Linked DNA regions of Coturnix japonica. The protein of the gene in region 2 interacts with the protein of the main gene of each other region in a pairwise test. Links are inferred from orthologs where the notes say so. Each region holds a gene or a part of one and is shown on either strand. Other genes may lie near its edges.

What was found. The genes of interacting proteins can lie anywhere in the genome.
Region 1: the proteins of TACC1 (region 2) and MEMO1 interact in binary tests that used the Homo sapiens proteins (3 or more experiments, as listed by UniProt). The two-hybrid records come from large-scale screens. The link is inferred for Coturnix japonica from reciprocal best matches to the Homo sapiens genes TACC1 and MEMO1.

Annotation. Positions count from the first base shown.
Region 1 is NC_029518.1:30,309,694-30,317,708, forward strand, and holds part of MEMO1 (protein MEMO1), read left to right. Parts: intron 1-1,472; coding exon 1,473-1,554; intron 1,555-3,204; coding exon 3,205-3,273; intron 3,274-4,185; exon of another isoform or gene 4,186-4,258; coding exon of another isoform or gene 4,259-4,293; intron 4,294-4,856; coding exon 4,857-4,969; intron 4,970-6,141; coding exon 6,142-6,253; intron 6,254-6,708; coding exon 6,709-6,851; intron 6,852-8,015. UniProt on the Homo sapiens protein: May control cell migration by relaying extracellular chemotactic signals to the microtubule cytoskeleton. Mediator of ERBB2 signaling.
Region 2 is NC_029537.1:3,767,512-3,775,526, reverse strand, and holds the end of TACC1 (transforming acidic coiled-coil-containing protein 1), read right to left. Parts: intron 7,041-8,015; coding exon 6,980-7,040; intron 6,869-6,979; coding exon 6,670-6,868; intron 5,846-6,669; coding exon 5,790-5,845; intron 4,903-5,789; coding exon 4,768-4,902; intron 4,671-4,767; coding exon 4,594-4,670; intron 4,257-4,593; coding exon 4,213-4,256; intron 4,137-4,212; coding exon 3,976-4,136; intron 3,838-3,975; coding exon 3,731-3,837; intron 3,537-3,730; coding exon 3,416-3,536; intron 3,255-3,415; coding exon 3,186-3,254; 3' UTR 1,432-3,185; downstream 1-1,431. UniProt on the Homo sapiens protein: Involved in transcription regulation induced by nuclear receptors, including in T3 thyroid hormone and all-trans retinoic acid pathways. Might promote the nuclear localization of the receptors.

The sequences.
Region 1 (8,015 bases), on a different chromosome or scaffold from region 2:
AGTTCTCTTGGAGTACTGTGGTTTATTTAGGTTTGAAAGGTTGGATGGATATGTGTGGGGCTTTTCTTGGTTTTGTCTGGTTTGTTTGTTTATCATTTTCCTTTGTGTACTTCCTTTGGAAAAGGATTTGATTACTTAAGCATTCTAATGCAACAGTTTAGTCCTCTTTGAACAATCATATGAAATTGTAGAAAATTACCAGAAATCCTGCACCTTGCCTTTAAACTGTTCAGTGAGTTACCTGATTTGTCTTAATGAGAGATAAATCGTCTTAACTGTCTTCTTAATTAAAAATAGCTGCTGGACAAGGAATGGAAGAAGGCCAAACACATTGCATGGCTGGGGGTGAGTCCAGGTCTATCTCAGGGTGCCTGAAAGCTTCCGGCACTTCTGCTGTTGTGCTGCCACTGAGCCCTTTTCAGAGAGAAGTTTGAAGATGGGGCTGATTCATGGATTGTTTAAGTCTCTGGTTAGTAGGTGTTTCAAGGAGTCCATTATTAAAGGGCTTTGTTTAGAAACTTCTTGTACATGTTTTGAGAGAATTAAAAAAAATATATATTTTTTTTCTTAATTTTAGAAGGGTACGATAGAAGCAGTAGAACAAAATTGATATGTGTGTATTTTGGACAGATTAATTGCTTCATAAAGTTCCTGTGTTACAGCATGCCACTTGTGCCACGTTAAAGGTGTAGGCTGTGTCTGAGGCCCTGGAGGTGATTGTAGGTTGAGAGAAGGGTATTGCAGTAATGTTCAGCTTCTACGTGTGAGAAAATGGGAGTTCTTACAACCACAAAGGAAGTCCTTCCCCTCCTACCATCCCCTTCTACAGAAGCTGACGTATTGGCAATGTTATGTATAGCTGTAAGCAGCTCTTGAGAGAGCTGTCAGCATGAGATCTGGTCTGTGGAATGTGTAGTTAGGTTAATGTCAAGAAGTGTATGTACCTGTAGTATATGTATATAATTGGAAGCTGTTGTGGAATTAGTATTAGCACTGTTTCCAGCTGTCTTCTTTACAGTTTTTCCAACTTACAACATGCTTTATGTTGCGCTTCATATTCTGTTATATTACCATTGGCCATCATCTTGGTGTGTAGGATGCACCATCTTTCCATGTTGGTTTTTCTTGGCACATGTTGTCTTATTACTTCTGAATCCTGTGAATATGATTACTGGAAGAGTAAATGATCTACTGAGCTCCCTTTTGAGATCATTAGCCATGCTTTCTAATGATGTGCATCTGTCCAGACAGCATGTGGATGTAGAATCAATGAACTTCAAGGACAGAGAGTTTGAAATTTCTCTAGTGCCAACTTAAGCATTACAGGCATGTTGGTTTTTATACCTCCTTTTTCAGGACAGGCCATGAAGTTTAAGATTACTTTAAATGTTTGACTTTAAATGTTGATTATGGAGGTGTTCTAGATATATATATTTTTTTATGGCTTCAGTTATTTCCTTTTGTTTTCATAGGACCCCAGCTGAATGCACAACTAGAAGGCTGGCTTTCTCAAGTACAGTCCACAAAGAGACCTGCTAGAGCCATTATTGCACCGTAAGTTTGAAGTCCATTTTTGGTGTGTATAATATTTGGTTTGTTAAATACATACTTATTCTGAGTGATTTTTGAGAACTGGGGAAGTCCTGACTGTAGCTGAAAGAAACGTCATGTGGTTTCTCAATAATATTTAGAAAATGAAGTGGAAGTGGCATAAACCCATGATCATCTTGGTATATGATCAGTTTCCTTTTGCAGGTGGCTTGAAGAAATAATCTTTTCCTTGTGATCCTCTAAGATAAGAGGTAGCCTAAGACGATGACTCTTTCAATGCAGTTATTGCATTGAACAGCTACGTGTATGTTTATTTTTGAAGTCAACAAAGAGAAAACCACTTTGCAAAGCTAAAAATTGTATTGAAACATTTTTCAGCAATCCAAAATGGTTTACTTTTGTTGGGTGCTTTTTTGGTGTATTTATTTTTGTTTTGGGCTACAGGAGAAACCATCTCAGTTATTTAGGTAGAACTAAGTTTAATGACATTAGTGAAGGCTTGTATATATAAGAAAGGTATGTTGATTATTCAAGCTTGTTGTGGGTAGGAAGGGGATACTAGAAAATGCACCTTAATTAACTTCTGGTATTTCCTGTTGTAACCATAGTGTTAACATAACATTAGAGGTATTTCATAATAGTACTTAATCCATGGAAGAAACTGTCTCAAGTCTACCATGGTCTTTTCTTGCGGGAATATCTGGAGAAAGGCTTTCTAGCTGCGGCTTAGATAAAGATAAGATTTATTACTTAGATCTGTGCTCGGGTTCATAAGAAACACAACTTGCATTCCTAGATACGTGAGAAACACAGACTAGGCCTAACTACGAGCCTTAGCATGACTACTGCTACTATTATTTAAAGCACACTGTAACAGAGATGCTTCTGTGGCCTTGCTGAATTCTTCATTCATCTGTGCCTTTGTTTTGGCACCTGTAAAGTGGAACATGGCTAATACAGTTTTTGTGAAGGACAAAAACTTGCATCAGAGGGAACCTTTTGAAGGCTGTGTTAACCTTGCTGATTCACCCTGTCTCCCTGTTATCCACTTAGTCTGCAGTAGTGGAGCATTTTGAAGTAAAATCTGGGAATAATTTTGAGGATAACTTGCTCCAGATATCATCTGTATGTGTGCATCTTACTGCATTCCACTCCCTTATGCCTATTTATTCTGTTGTTGAGGTGGTTTTCATCATTGACTGAATATTTTTATTCTTCTTTCTGTTTTAACAGTCTGCTTTTGACAAACTCTTCCACTGTCCTCCATGTTCAGTTTACATGTATCTGGTTAGGAAAACTTCCTCCAACATTGTATTATTTCCATGTCTAGTGGTTGCACTCTCAGCATTACTATGAGCTTCTGATAGTATGCAGTTGTACAGAGGGCCTACTATATCTTTTATAAACAACAGAAGGTGCTTTGATTAAGGATGCCTATTTAATGTTTACTGCTAGCTCTTCTACAAATACATCATGCATGCATTCAGTATTGCAATAGTGCTCTTCAGCTGTTCCATGGGATGTTTTGAGGATTATTCTTGTTATTTCTAGTTTTTAGGTGATAAAGATGTTAATGTTTAATAGCAGTGTGAATGTGATGTGCATTGTACAAAAATGTTCAACAGAGTTAATGCTGTTTAACTTGATTTACAGCCATGCAGGATATACCTATTGTGGATCTTGTGCAGCCCATGCTTACAAGCAAGTAGATCCAAATATTACGTAAGTATTAAACTCTTCTTTAGGAATCTTAAGATGAGGTCTAGGAAGTGTTCTTTGTTACCCTTATATTTTTGGTTTTTTGTATACTGAAGTATTTGATCACATTCTGCATTGGTTATTTAGTGCAGGATTACAAGCTGAATGCTACCAGGATTGTCTTCTGCTATGGAGAAAAATAACCATTGTGTGTATATAATACTTAAAGCCAATGAAAGTTACTTGTTGTAATAGTTTTAAATGGACTTGTGTTACTAATGGCAGAGACTCAAAAGCCCAAAATTAAAAAAAACAAAACACCAACAACCAACAACACCAACAAGAAACATCCCCCACTGTAGTTTGTGTCTGCATCTAAAGGTATAAAGAGACTTTATTCTAGAAAGAAGTATAATTCTTTCCTGTTTTGACAGCAACATTTGTTCAATGTGAATTTTAAAACATCTCCAGTATTTTCTCACTGTATGCATCTTGCAATGCCAGTCTAAAAACTGGCTCTGTAAGTTGCTTAGAAGATAAATGTTGTGCTCCCAAAACCAAAACCAGTGTTAGCATACACTCTAAACTATTGTAAAACAACGTGAAGATAACTTAGTTTTAGAGAGGCCAGTTCTCTGTTACACTAAATCGAGTTGCATTCCCCAAGTTCAGTGACACAGTGAGTTAATTGAACTTTCTGGATCACTTGATGTTTTATTGCATGGGATGTCTAGAATTCACTAGAGTGTAATTAATCTTTCAACTGAAGTATTGTACATTTGGATTTTTTGCTTGTATGAGCTCTGTAAACAGGTGTAGTATTTTAGTATTGCTTTTATTTCGCATGCAAGAGAGAAGAAATAAAGATATTTTCATGTTTCCACCACTTTAGTTCAGTGCAGATGTGATCCTGATTCTGAAAAGCTGAATTTCCTGTAGATTTTTCTAAAGTTCTGTGGCAGGAGAGTTAAGCAAGAGCCAGGAGCTGATGACTTCATGAAATAATACCATGATGGGTGAAAGATGGCAATATCTGCTGAGGCTGTGAGTGTATAGATCCAGATCCTTGTTCTTAATGCAACAGCTGGGCAAATAAACCAGTTGAGGGTAGCTTAAAGTGGAATTTGGTATAACTTGAAGTAAAGGGTAATCAAGTAAACTACTGAACAGCTCCGAATAGGTGATAAATCTATAATCCTCACTTGAGAGTGCATACCTGTAATTGTTGACCACATATAAGTGAAGGTTGAGTTAGATTTTTCAATTTACTCCTTTGATCAAAGGGCTATAATGTATAATTCTGCCTTCAGATGACCCCAGTCAATTGCTAGTTGATTAGTGTTGGTATATAATCTGTTTGAGAGGTTTAAAGCTATGTGAAGCATTATTGCACCGATCTTAGGACTGTTTCTGAGTTACTGAGTGAGGATCAGGGATTGATCTGTGGTCTGATGCATAATAGAATAAAACTCTGCTGTTAACCACCAACTGCTCAAGTATTGCTTCATATGCCAGCATTTTTTTTAAACTTGTTACTCTAAACAAGCCTCTGTTCAATTGCTGTTGTCTAAATTCTGGGCTTCTTGTTTGTCTGTTGATTGTTGTAGCCGAAAAATTTTCATTCTTGGGCCTTCCCATCACGTGCCCCTTTCCCGATGTGCACTTTCCAGTGTGGACATTTATAGAACACCTCTGTATGATCTCCGAATTGACCAAAAGAGTAAGTGTGCAATAAAGCTTACCTGCTGTTGGCTGCTGGGGCTTCAGAATTAGCTGCGGTGGTGCAGTGCTGAGGACCATTATAGTGCTGGGCATATCATTGCTCTTCTGTGGCATACAGATGTGAAAGTTTTACTCCAATGAAAGCTAACTTCTTGAAGATCCTAACATATTAAGGTCTTTTTGCTCCAGCATTCTCTGAATTATTCTGTCTGCAAAAAACCACAGTGTTTTAGTTGGTTTGAATGTATTTCTAATGAAGGAACAGAAAACTACCTTTATTTGGCTGTCCCATTGCATGTGACTTTTTTTTCTTTTTTAATTAGTGTAGTACCTACAAAATTTAATGTTAGTCCATGAAAGACTGGTCTTCGAGAGTAAGTTTAAAGATGCACTGAAGATGGCTGTGATGTTCTGAGTCATATAATTTTCAAAGTATATCTAAACTATACTTTTCAGAAGTGCTTGTTAGCCAAATTTGTTGCTGCTTCATTATCACTGATTAACTGAGCCAGATCAGGCTTCCTGCATGATGCCTGTAAAAACTTCCTTAGGTGCCAAATATTCAAGGTTTTGCAGAACGCCTTTATGTAATGGAGAACAAGGCAGAGCCCTACGTCAGTCTACCCACCGAGTAGAGCTTCCTAATGCAGAGATCACTGTTTGCATACCACCAGGTTCACTTAAGAGAATGAAACATAGCTTATAGGTATGCATTACTTAATCAGATTTTGCTGTCTGATAATTCAGTTAATAGTAAACTATATTAAGTAGTAATACATCCAGCAATGACTCAGCTGGTCAACTTCTCAAAAACAATGTGATGGTGTAGTTTGGGAAAATAAGAGTTGAAAGACTAGGCACCTGCATGTATATTTTCTAATGTTCTACTATGCCATGAAGTTTCATTATTAGATCTTGTAGCATAGCTGAAAATCTCTATACCAACAAGGTGACTGATTTAACACAACTTTATTCTGTAAATTAAATAGTTTATGACTTGAACGTAATTTTAATCTTACGTTTATGTAGAAATCAAGTGGTTTATGTTGACAGTTCTTGGAGACAAGTAGTTTGATTTATTGGGCTTGTTTCTGATAATGGTGCACTACATTTTGCTTTATTGTTTGTGTGTGGGGAAGAATGATACAAATGATTTTTGATTCATTTCAGTTTATGGAGAACTGTGGAAGACCGGAATGTTTGAGCGTATGTCTTTACAGACAGATGAAGATGAACACAGTATTGAAATGCATTTGCCTTATACTGCTAAAGCCATGGAAAGGTACTAGGGCTATTTACTTCTTGTACAGGAACATACATGATGTGCATTAAAATGCAGTTGAGACATTTACCGTACAGAAGGAAGAAATAATATCTTTGTAGAGATTTTCCTACCATAGTCCCCCATCCCTCAAGGAAAACCTTGGGGAGGAGGGGTCAGAGACGAGTATTATTTGCTTGGAAGAGTAGTCTGCATTTGGGCAGTACTTGTACACAGAGATTTTATTTATTGATTTCACTTGTTTTTCTATTTTGCAGCAAAAATGCTGTTTTGGGGGGGGGGTTGTATTTTGAAACTGAAGTAGTTTGAGGTTTTAGATTAACTTAAGAGTATGATCTTATCAAGTGAACTGTGTCTCGAAAACGTCCTTTTAAAACATTCTGCAAATTGTTAGCAAGTCTTAAAACACCTTAAGATGACAGTTAAATTACAGCCTTTTTTCTTTTGCTTATAAGCCATAAGGATGAGTTTACTATTATTCCTGTGTTGGTCGGAGCACTGAGTGAGGCAAAAGAGCAGGAATTTGGAAAACTCTTCAGTAAATACCTAGCTGATCCTAGTAACCTCTTTGTGGTTTCTTCTGACTTTTGCCATTGGGGTAAGTTTCACATCTCTTTATGACAGCAGTATGATTAATATTTTGTATTCACTTTTTAAAGAACGTCTTTCATTAAATGCATTTTGACATTTTAACTTTTGGTAAATGTGTATTTGAAACTTAAATATGTTTGTAAAGCTGAAAAAAAAAAGTTGGAGCAATAGACAAAACTAAAATGATACTACAAAGTGATACTATGTTTTTCAGTGTAGCAAAGAGGTGGGGAAGGAATATGGGTTTATAAACATCTTTTCACTTGCAATGGAATGTCTAAAGTTCCTTGCTTTTTTTTGTTGTTGTTTTCTTTTTTACTTTTAAACATCTCAAGGGATATTGCAAAAGTAAATAGTTAAAAATTCACTGGACATGTCAACATCCCTTCAGAAATAAGTTTTGTATTTTTTATTGCTGAGTAAGATAGCAAATGGCATAAATACTCCAACTCAGCTGAGTTATTCCAGTTCATGGTGACAGAACTAGATAGATTCCAGAAGCCTAGATGTCTGTCATTTTGCTTTAATGCTTTGTTTTCCCTTTACTGTAACAATAGCCGGAAAGGGGAACTGCTTCACAAAGATGTTTTATGTTACACAACAGACCTTCTTACTTTTTATTCATGGTCTCCTTTGGTCACCTTATGTAACAAAGTTCATGTTTTACTCATCTTTGAACTGTGGAATAGGTGGACCTGTGTGACCTGTGTTCAGCTGCGGCCAGTGAGCCATCTAGAACCGTTTAATTGAATTACCCTGAACTTTTTCTTATAACCTTCATTTGCAGTGGGTGTTATTGTGTGAGCAGTAGCTTGACTCCAGGGTTGACTTTATATCTGAAGAGAAAAAGCGAAAATAAATGTTGCTTTACATGTAAACTTATAGAAATTGAGTCCAAGGCATTAACAGGCAGTTAATAAGCGACACTGCAGTGTCAGATCTACAGAACAGGCTTTTCTTTTTAAGTACAGCTGCCCTTCTCTTTAATTCTTTCACTTGGCTTCTGGGCTGCTTCTGTGGTAGCCCTAAAATTTTCTCAGTGGATCTAAAAGATGTAAAGCAAATGGAGATTACAACTTACAGATGTTACAGTTTCGATTAATTTGTAAGTACTAGGGAGTGTTTTAGCTTCAAATTTTCCCTTTTTTATTTTATACGTGATTTTTGTTTC
Region 2 (8,015 bases):
CAGCAGGAGCACATCCCTCCAGCACACAGCTGAGCTGCAGTAGGATGTGGTGGCAGCTTTGCAGCCCTGGCACGGACTTACTGGGTGCAGTGATGGTGGAGCAGGCGTCTGCGTACTGAGGGCAGCTGTGCGAGCCCTGCTTGTTGCAGTCGTTCTCGTTGGATGCGACGCATTTGTGGCATTTCAGTGCTGCACCTGCACAAGGGGAGGCAGTGCTGAGCCCTCTGTGTGCTGTGTGCATCGCGTGGGTGCAGCCCTGTCCCAGGTACAGCAGCGTAAAACCTTCAACCTCCGTCCTTTTTTGTGCCAGAGCAATGAGCGCCTGTGCAGGTGGGGTTTAGTGCACGCGTGTGCCATGCAGGCAGCTTCCCCCGTGCGTTGCACTGCACAGAACTGCACCCATTGGCACTGCACTGCAGAGGGGTGATGGATGCGTGTGTCACAGCAGTGCCCCCCCCTTATAGGAGCTCACATATAGAGCCCTCCTATAAGGGCTCTATGCGGGTGGAGGAGCCCCGACCCTGCGCGGCTGCGGAGATCCCACTCAGCTCAGGAGCTGCCTGAGCAAATCTGAAAGCACCGCTGTCTCTGCGTGATAATGAGAGCCCTGAAATAACAGCGCTGCTTTGAATACGTGCAGACGGAGCACCTCCGAAAAGCCCCGCTCTCACCCCATCAGGAGGAGCGCTTGGTTGTTACAGAGGTGGTTGAATTAATGCTTAACGTCGGGAGGAAAACGTCCACCCTCTTTGCTGGACGAGCAGAGCCCTCTCGCGGCGCTTTTTCCTCTCTTGGAAAGGAAAAAGTCCCCACGCGTGATGGGAACGGACCCACACCGAGCACGGGGTGCGTAGCGGTACCTCTCACTGCTCTGCCCACTACAAACGCGGCTGCATTTCATCATCCCCTCGGTGCGAAGATCCCAATATCAGCGTGAGATGAGTGCAGCCCCGGCCTCCCCCCGCAGCTCAGCGCCCCTGCGCCGCGCACCCATTGCCTGTCCTCAGTCCTACACCGGAGCAGGGACTGTTCCCTTCCATGGCAGCTGCAGTCACTTACCATCCAACGCCAGGGAGGTGACGATGGTCAGAGCCAGGAGGGTCTTCAGGGGCGACATTGTCAGCAGTGCTCGCCCGTGGCACATAGCCTCTCTTTTGTCCCGAGGTTTTATGGTAATCTGCTTGGGCGATTGGATCTATGGGCTGAGGATAACGCACTTAGCAGCCCGTCCTAATGCCACCTGAGCTGGGAGGGGACACAGCTCCAAGGGCAGGAGCTGCCCAGGGGCACGGCAATGGGCACAGCACAGCCCCGAGCCATCCCCAGGGTCCCTAACACAGCCCCAACCCCATCCACACACATGAGGCAGAATCAGGCCCAACCCAGGGGATTTATCCCCTCACCACCATTAAAAACAGCATGAAACCTTTCAAGAGTGATAAACACCATTTTTACTCAGGCAATGAAACATGGGGGGGGAAAAATATATATATATATTAGTAATCATCATAATAATCTCCTTTGTGTGAGTATAACTCTTACAAATATTTACCTGACATATAAAAGGGAAATTACATACAAAATCAAGGCTGATGGCAGCGATGGATGGTGTACAAAGTGAGCCTGGTAGTAGTCAGCACAAAGGGGGGGGGGGAGGATGGAGGGATGGAAGCAGGGAGCAGTCAGGGTGGGCACTCGTTGGCACTTCACTGCAGACATAAGATCTAGGGGCAAACTCACACACAGCAACACTGCGTTCATGGACACTGCTGCTGAAAGGGACACATCATTTCTGCTGCAGGAAAGGTGGCCACAGCTGCAACAGGGGATGCAGCAGTGTTGCCCACGTGAACTTAAAATACGCCTTCTGTTATAGGTAACTATGGCTGGTATGTATATATTTATATATATGCAACTATAACCATATTATAGTTAATAAATCATTCCTTAGGAATCTTTGCCCAGACTGGACGTGCACGCTGAGAGGCACAGAAATGCAACAGCACGCGGGTGGTGGAGGCAGCAGCATGTGGACAGCAGGAGCAGAGCAGTGTGAGGATGCTGCCACATCGTATCACTGCTGCGGGTACAGCTCTGCCTTCCACGCAGCTCCGTGCTGCAGGAAGCATCACAAAGATTTGATCTCGCTGTGCTGGCATCGCTCCTGGCTGCCACCAGTGCCCTGCAGCCACGCTGGGGCTGGGAGGGCTGCTGTGGAGCTCGATACATAGGAGAAGAAGGGAAGAGAGTGGTGCCAGGCTGCAGCCACCACGGTGCTGGTGAGGGGAGCTGTGCTGCAGCAGGTTGTGGTTGGCAGTGTGACAACCCAGCAAAGGAAAGAGGGGGAAAAAAGGGGGTTTTCTATTCTGTCAGCTGTGCAAAGAGGTGAACGTTCAACACAACACTGCAGGTGCACAGCATCAGCCATCAGCCCCTTTGCTGAGTCAGTGGGAGCCGGGTGGGGACCCTGCGTGTGCCCGAGCTTTGTGTCTATATAATAAATCCTTTCTAATAGATAACTAATAAAATATATCTCCGGTGTATGGCTCTGCTTTAACAGATGTCTGCACTGCATGCGGAACGCAGGGGTTAGAAAATAGAAGGAAAAACAGCTCAATTTCTTTTACAAAAAAAGGTAGCAGCAAAAAGGTTTGCTAAGGTTTTAGCTGGGCTAGGTAGGAAACAGTCCAACAGCATTTATTTCCCTTATCTGACACCTCAGGGCTGCCTGTGTGTGGTGAGGGAAGGAGCCTCAGCCCTTCTGCTGGGCTCACTAAGGAGTAACCACCTCCAAAAGCAGCAGGCAGCCTGCATGGAAATGCTGCCTGGATCTGCCTTTCCCTGTAAAGGGCAGCTTTGTTTGCTTCCCTCATTACGCAGTGCTGCAGGGGGACTGGAGAGAGCAGTGCAAGATCCAGAGAGTGACTGCTGCTCTGTGCCTCGCCGTGCTGAGTGGGGAAAGGAGCTCCAAGCAGAGCTCCTTCCCTGGTGCTCCAAACAACAGCCCTTGGTGCTGTGCCATGCAGCACGTGAGGACAGTGACAGCACATGGGGATGGCCACCTTCACACCTGGGGTGCAGCAGCCACACGTGTGCTTTCTGCAGGGTCGCTCTGGGGTAATAATAAGGCAAAGTGCTCGAAGGTAGGAGAAAAGCAGCCGGGTGTGGAGCTGGGGGTGGTGAGCTCAGTCTGCCCTGCCCAGCTTCGCGATCAGCTCGTCGCAGATCTTGGTCAGCTCCTCGATCTCCTGGTTCTGGAAAGGAAGCAGGACCCTGTGGTACATCCCTCCTCATCCCCTCATGACCCCACTCCCTTGATCCTCAAAAGCACTTTCTGACCCCAAAACAGAGAGAACAGCTCCAGCACCAAAGTGGAAGCACAGAGCATCCCCAGTGTGCTGGCAGTGGACGTTACCTTCTGCTGCAGGGCTCTCTCCAGGGACTCCACCTTCATCTGCTCCTTTCTCAGCCCTGCATGCAGAGCTGCGCTCTCTGCTTTGGCCTTGGTGCGCACCTGGGCGATCTCCTCGTTGGCTCTGCATGGGGAGAGATGGGGTTATGGGGTGGGAGTTCTGTGGTAAGGATGTTGGGTCATGATGTTCCAGCAGAGCCCAGCTCCTGCACGCTGCAATGCATCAGAGGTGGTTTTGCTACTGCTGCATGGAGGTGAATGCTCATTACTCAGGGCCAGGCATGTGCTGCCCATCCTCCTGCACCTCACAGCTCTTACTTGTCCAACTTCTCCTCCGCGTGGACCTTCAGGGCCTGGTATCGCTGCTCCTCTTGCTTGACACGGTTTAAATAGTCCTGAGCACACTTCTTCAGGGCTTCTTCATTCTGGAAAACAAAGTATATCCATCTGCACTGGGACCAAGCACAGCGTGCTTCTCTGATGACAGATCTGCATGGGACAGGGTGGGGGCAATGCACAGCCCCCATAGCTGCAGGGATGGGGGAGGACACCGAGATCAGGACCTTCTTAAAACCTTCCAGGACACCCTTCAGGTTTTCATATCTCCTGAACAGATCCGATAGGGACCTCTCCACAGAGTTGAGGTCTGCCAGCGCCTGGTCCTTCTCCATGGTGAGCTGTTGCAGGTTCTTTTGGGAGGTCATATTTGTCCTCTGCTCATCCTCTGTGAGGGGAACAAACAGGGATGTGGTGACTGAGCACAGACAGCATTGCCCTGCCCCGCAGCACTGGGACCTCACCTATCATCTGGGCAATGGTCTTTTCATACTCAGCCACAATTTTCCTGCAAAAGAAAAAGAAATAAAAGAACAAAAGTGAGTAGGAAGCAGCAGTTCCCGCAGACACACACCCACAGCTCTGCTCCAGCACGCTGCCCTGGGCCCCAGTGCTGCAACAGCCTGGGCACCCCCTGCTGCTGCTCCCAGATCCCCTCCATCCGCAGCTAATGGGATTTCATCCCCACAACAAACAAACTGCAGGCTCAACACAGCGCAGGCACAAAGCAGACATGCCTCGCGATGTGTCCCACCCCAGTGAAGCAGAACTGTGTCATCCCATTACGGCCCCACAGACAAGCAGGGGGAACATGAGCGCAGCATCCCACCGGGCAGGGGTCCCACCTCATCTCCAGGACCTCCTGACGACTCTCCTCGTACTTCTTCTTCCACTCATTGGCTTCGATCTCCTTTGTGATTATCTGGGGAGCAGCAGAAGGAGAGCTTGGCTGTGCTCCACCATCACGCCCACCCCCATCCCTCCATTGCAGAGCAGGACAGGGCAGCCCACACTGTTACCTCCTCCCGGATGAGTGTGAGCACGGCCGCCTTCTCGGAGGCGTTCAGGCAGATGCTGTCCAAGGGGCTGTCACTTCTGCTGCCACTGGTGATGGCTGTGGGGGGTTTGTCTGCCAGGCACAGCATGGGATGGCCCTGCATGGGAATCACCCAGCTGGGTGTTGTCTTTTGCTCATCTTTTCTCCTTGGTTCCCATGTTTGGGGTCACCCCCTCACTGCCCCTGGGCCTGCACCCCAAAGAAGAGGCAGAGCAGGGGCAGACCCAGCTGTAAGCTGAGCTGTGCTCCCATCCAATGTCACTTTGCTTTGCTCTGTGTTTGGCTCTAGAATAGCTAGGGCTGCACCATGGGGGTGGGTGCTGGGTATGGGTGGGGGGGTCCTGTGGGTGAATGTCCCCAGCAAAGCACTCCTGCACCACACAGCTCAGGCAGCTTCTTCCTCCCTCCACTGTCTCTGCAGCAGTGCAGCCCCTCACAGTTATCTCCTTGGAAACGGGCTGTGAGGCCATAAATAGCAAAGTGCTGGGAGAAGGCAGCCTGGTTCTGCAGTGTTTTGGAAACAAAAGCACTTCTCTCCCCTCTCCCTCTCCCTCTCCCTCTCCCTCTCCCTCTCCCTCTCCCCCTGCCTGGATCCACCCATGATGGAGCTGTGGGCAACCACTTTGGACACAGCCCCAGGTCCAGGCAGCCTCAGCAACCTCCTGCAGCACCATGCACAGCAGCTGCACAGCTCTGCCTTCCCCACAGCTTGGGCAGCCTCAGCAGCACCAAACACAAGGTTCACTTTGCCCAGTGTCCTTGTGGGGCTTAGTGCAGTTAAATCTGTCTCAGAGGTGCTGATGTTGCTGATGTTGCTAATCTCGTTGTCACCTGCTTGTCAGCTCTGGGTAGAGGCAGCTCTGCTGGCACAGACCCCCCCCCCCACACACACACATCACCATCAGCCCCACAACCATTCAGCAGCCCCAGCAGAGCCACCCCAAGGTGACTGTGGGCAAACAGGGGGAAGGAAGCATCACTCACAGGGAAGGCAACAGATCCATCCTTGTCCGTTTGCTTGGAGAGCTCCTTCTCAAAGCCTGGAGACAGAGAAATAAAATGTTTTAGCTACTAGGAAATGAGACCCTGGCAGCACATGCAGCTTCACTGGGATGTAGGTGTACAGTGCATGGCCTGAGTAAACCTGGGTAGGCTTTCTACCCTTCTCCTGCCCTTGAGGGGAGGATACATCCCACATCCCAGCTGCAGCTGCAGCCAACACTCCCCTCTGGTGGCAGCCCAGCTTCTGTTTGTTCCCACAGCTGTCATATCAGTGATGCTGAGGGAGCAGAGATGTGCAGTTATGGAATCCCTCCCCTATAAGACAAAGTGCTCTCTCAGAGCTCTGCAGCTCTGAGCAGCATTCAGGGGAGCTGATTAATGACCAGCTGCAAGCCCTCCATGCGGCCATTTCTGCTGCTTGCACCTATAACTCGCTATCGATTAAGTGCCACATTGCCTGGCTTTTAATTATTTCTTAATAGATTGGTCACAGCAGATAATCACATAGGAGACAGACAGCAGGAGCAGCAGTGTAGCCTTCAGCAGTGACCTGGAGCTCTCTATTAGCAGGCAGTGTGTGCCGGCAGCTGTGCTGGCACAGGGTGCACCAGGAGCAAAAGCAGAGCAGGATGGAAGCTTTCAGTAACAGCCCTGACTTTGCATTTGTGTTTTCATTACTGAGCTCAATGCATTTTGAGAGGAGCTGGGATGCTGGGCTCAGCAAGGCAGGGAATGGGCTGTGGGGCATTCTAAAGCCAGGATGCTCCAGATAAAGAGCACACTGATTTTTCCATAATGAAAGCAATGTAGACAAGCAATACATGGCACAAGCACTGCCAGGGGCAGTGGAGATGCTCCCTACCTGCCTCCATGCCAGGCTTCACCGCTGGTACAGGGACATTGGAGCACTCAAAGTACTCCAGGTCATCCTCAGGTTCTCCCTTCTTCTCCAGCCCGGCTGCTTTCTGTGTGCAGGAGGTGGATGCCAACTTCTCCTCATCAGTGGCACGTCCATCCCGAGTGGCAACGTCTGGGATTTCTGAGATCAACGTTCCCTCATCCTGTGGGATCAAGGCGTGCAGGTTAACAGGGCAGAGCTGAGCTGCAGGGATCAGAGCTGGGCTGTGTGGATGGGCAGTGGAGGCTCAGCATCCCCTGCTGCTCCCACCCACCTGAGCACAACCATCCAGCACCAGCGCCGGCGTCTCGTACTGCTTCACCTTGCAGCCGCTCCTGCAGACAGAAGGAAATGGACACATTAAGCTGGTGCTCATGAGGGCCAAGGAGGGGACAGCAGAGGTGCGTGCGGGACAGCCCAAGCGAGGGGAGGCAGCCCCAGCACCAGCATTGCACCCATAGCAAAACCACTCACCAGTGAGGTACTGGAGGGCCAGAGTGAGTTCTGGAAGGAGCAGAAGGAACAAGCAAACAAAACACACAGCTACAGAGAGATCGGGTTTGTCTTTGAGATGTTTATTGCTATTGGAGGGAAGGAGCACAGAAAGCACACGAGGTGCTGACGGCGAGAGAGGATGTGACGAAAGGTTCCCCTGCTGCATCTGGCCTCCATGTCCAGTGCAATGGTATCACATCTGAGTGCACACTGATTTCCTTGCAGGTGGTCCTGTGCCCAACAGAGACCTGTGCTGCCCCATCCCTACCCACATAGCAGCACCCACATCCCTGTGGGTCTGAGCAGCTGGGCAGAGCCCTGCTGTGCTCACAGGACAGCACTGCTGTGTGTTGCAAACACTGGAGTAGAAAGCCTTGAGGAGGGCTGAAGGCTGAGTTCAGGTCGCTCCTGCAGTGATACATGGCTGGTGCTTCTTCCACAGGCTTCACCCCACATTCCCAAATGCCCCGTTCCAGTGGCAGGGCTGCAGACTCAGCCCCAACCCAATGTGTGGTGCTGCTGTCCTGAATCAGCTGCAGGCAGAGCAGGGATGCTCACAGAGCCCCAAGAGGAGGGTGCACGCAGCACCAGGTCCGTGCCACCAAAACCAGCACTGACATGATGCATGGGGACACATTTCCAGCCCCACACCAGAGCTGCAGCCATGCAGAGGTCAGAGCAGATTTGCAGCAGGACAGCCCTTGGGTTGAGAAATTCCATCCCTGCCTGCTTCAACACACCCATGCTCCAGCAGAGCAATGTGGTATGGAACATCTGCAGGCTGCCATGCACGTCTGAATCAGATAAAGTCCACT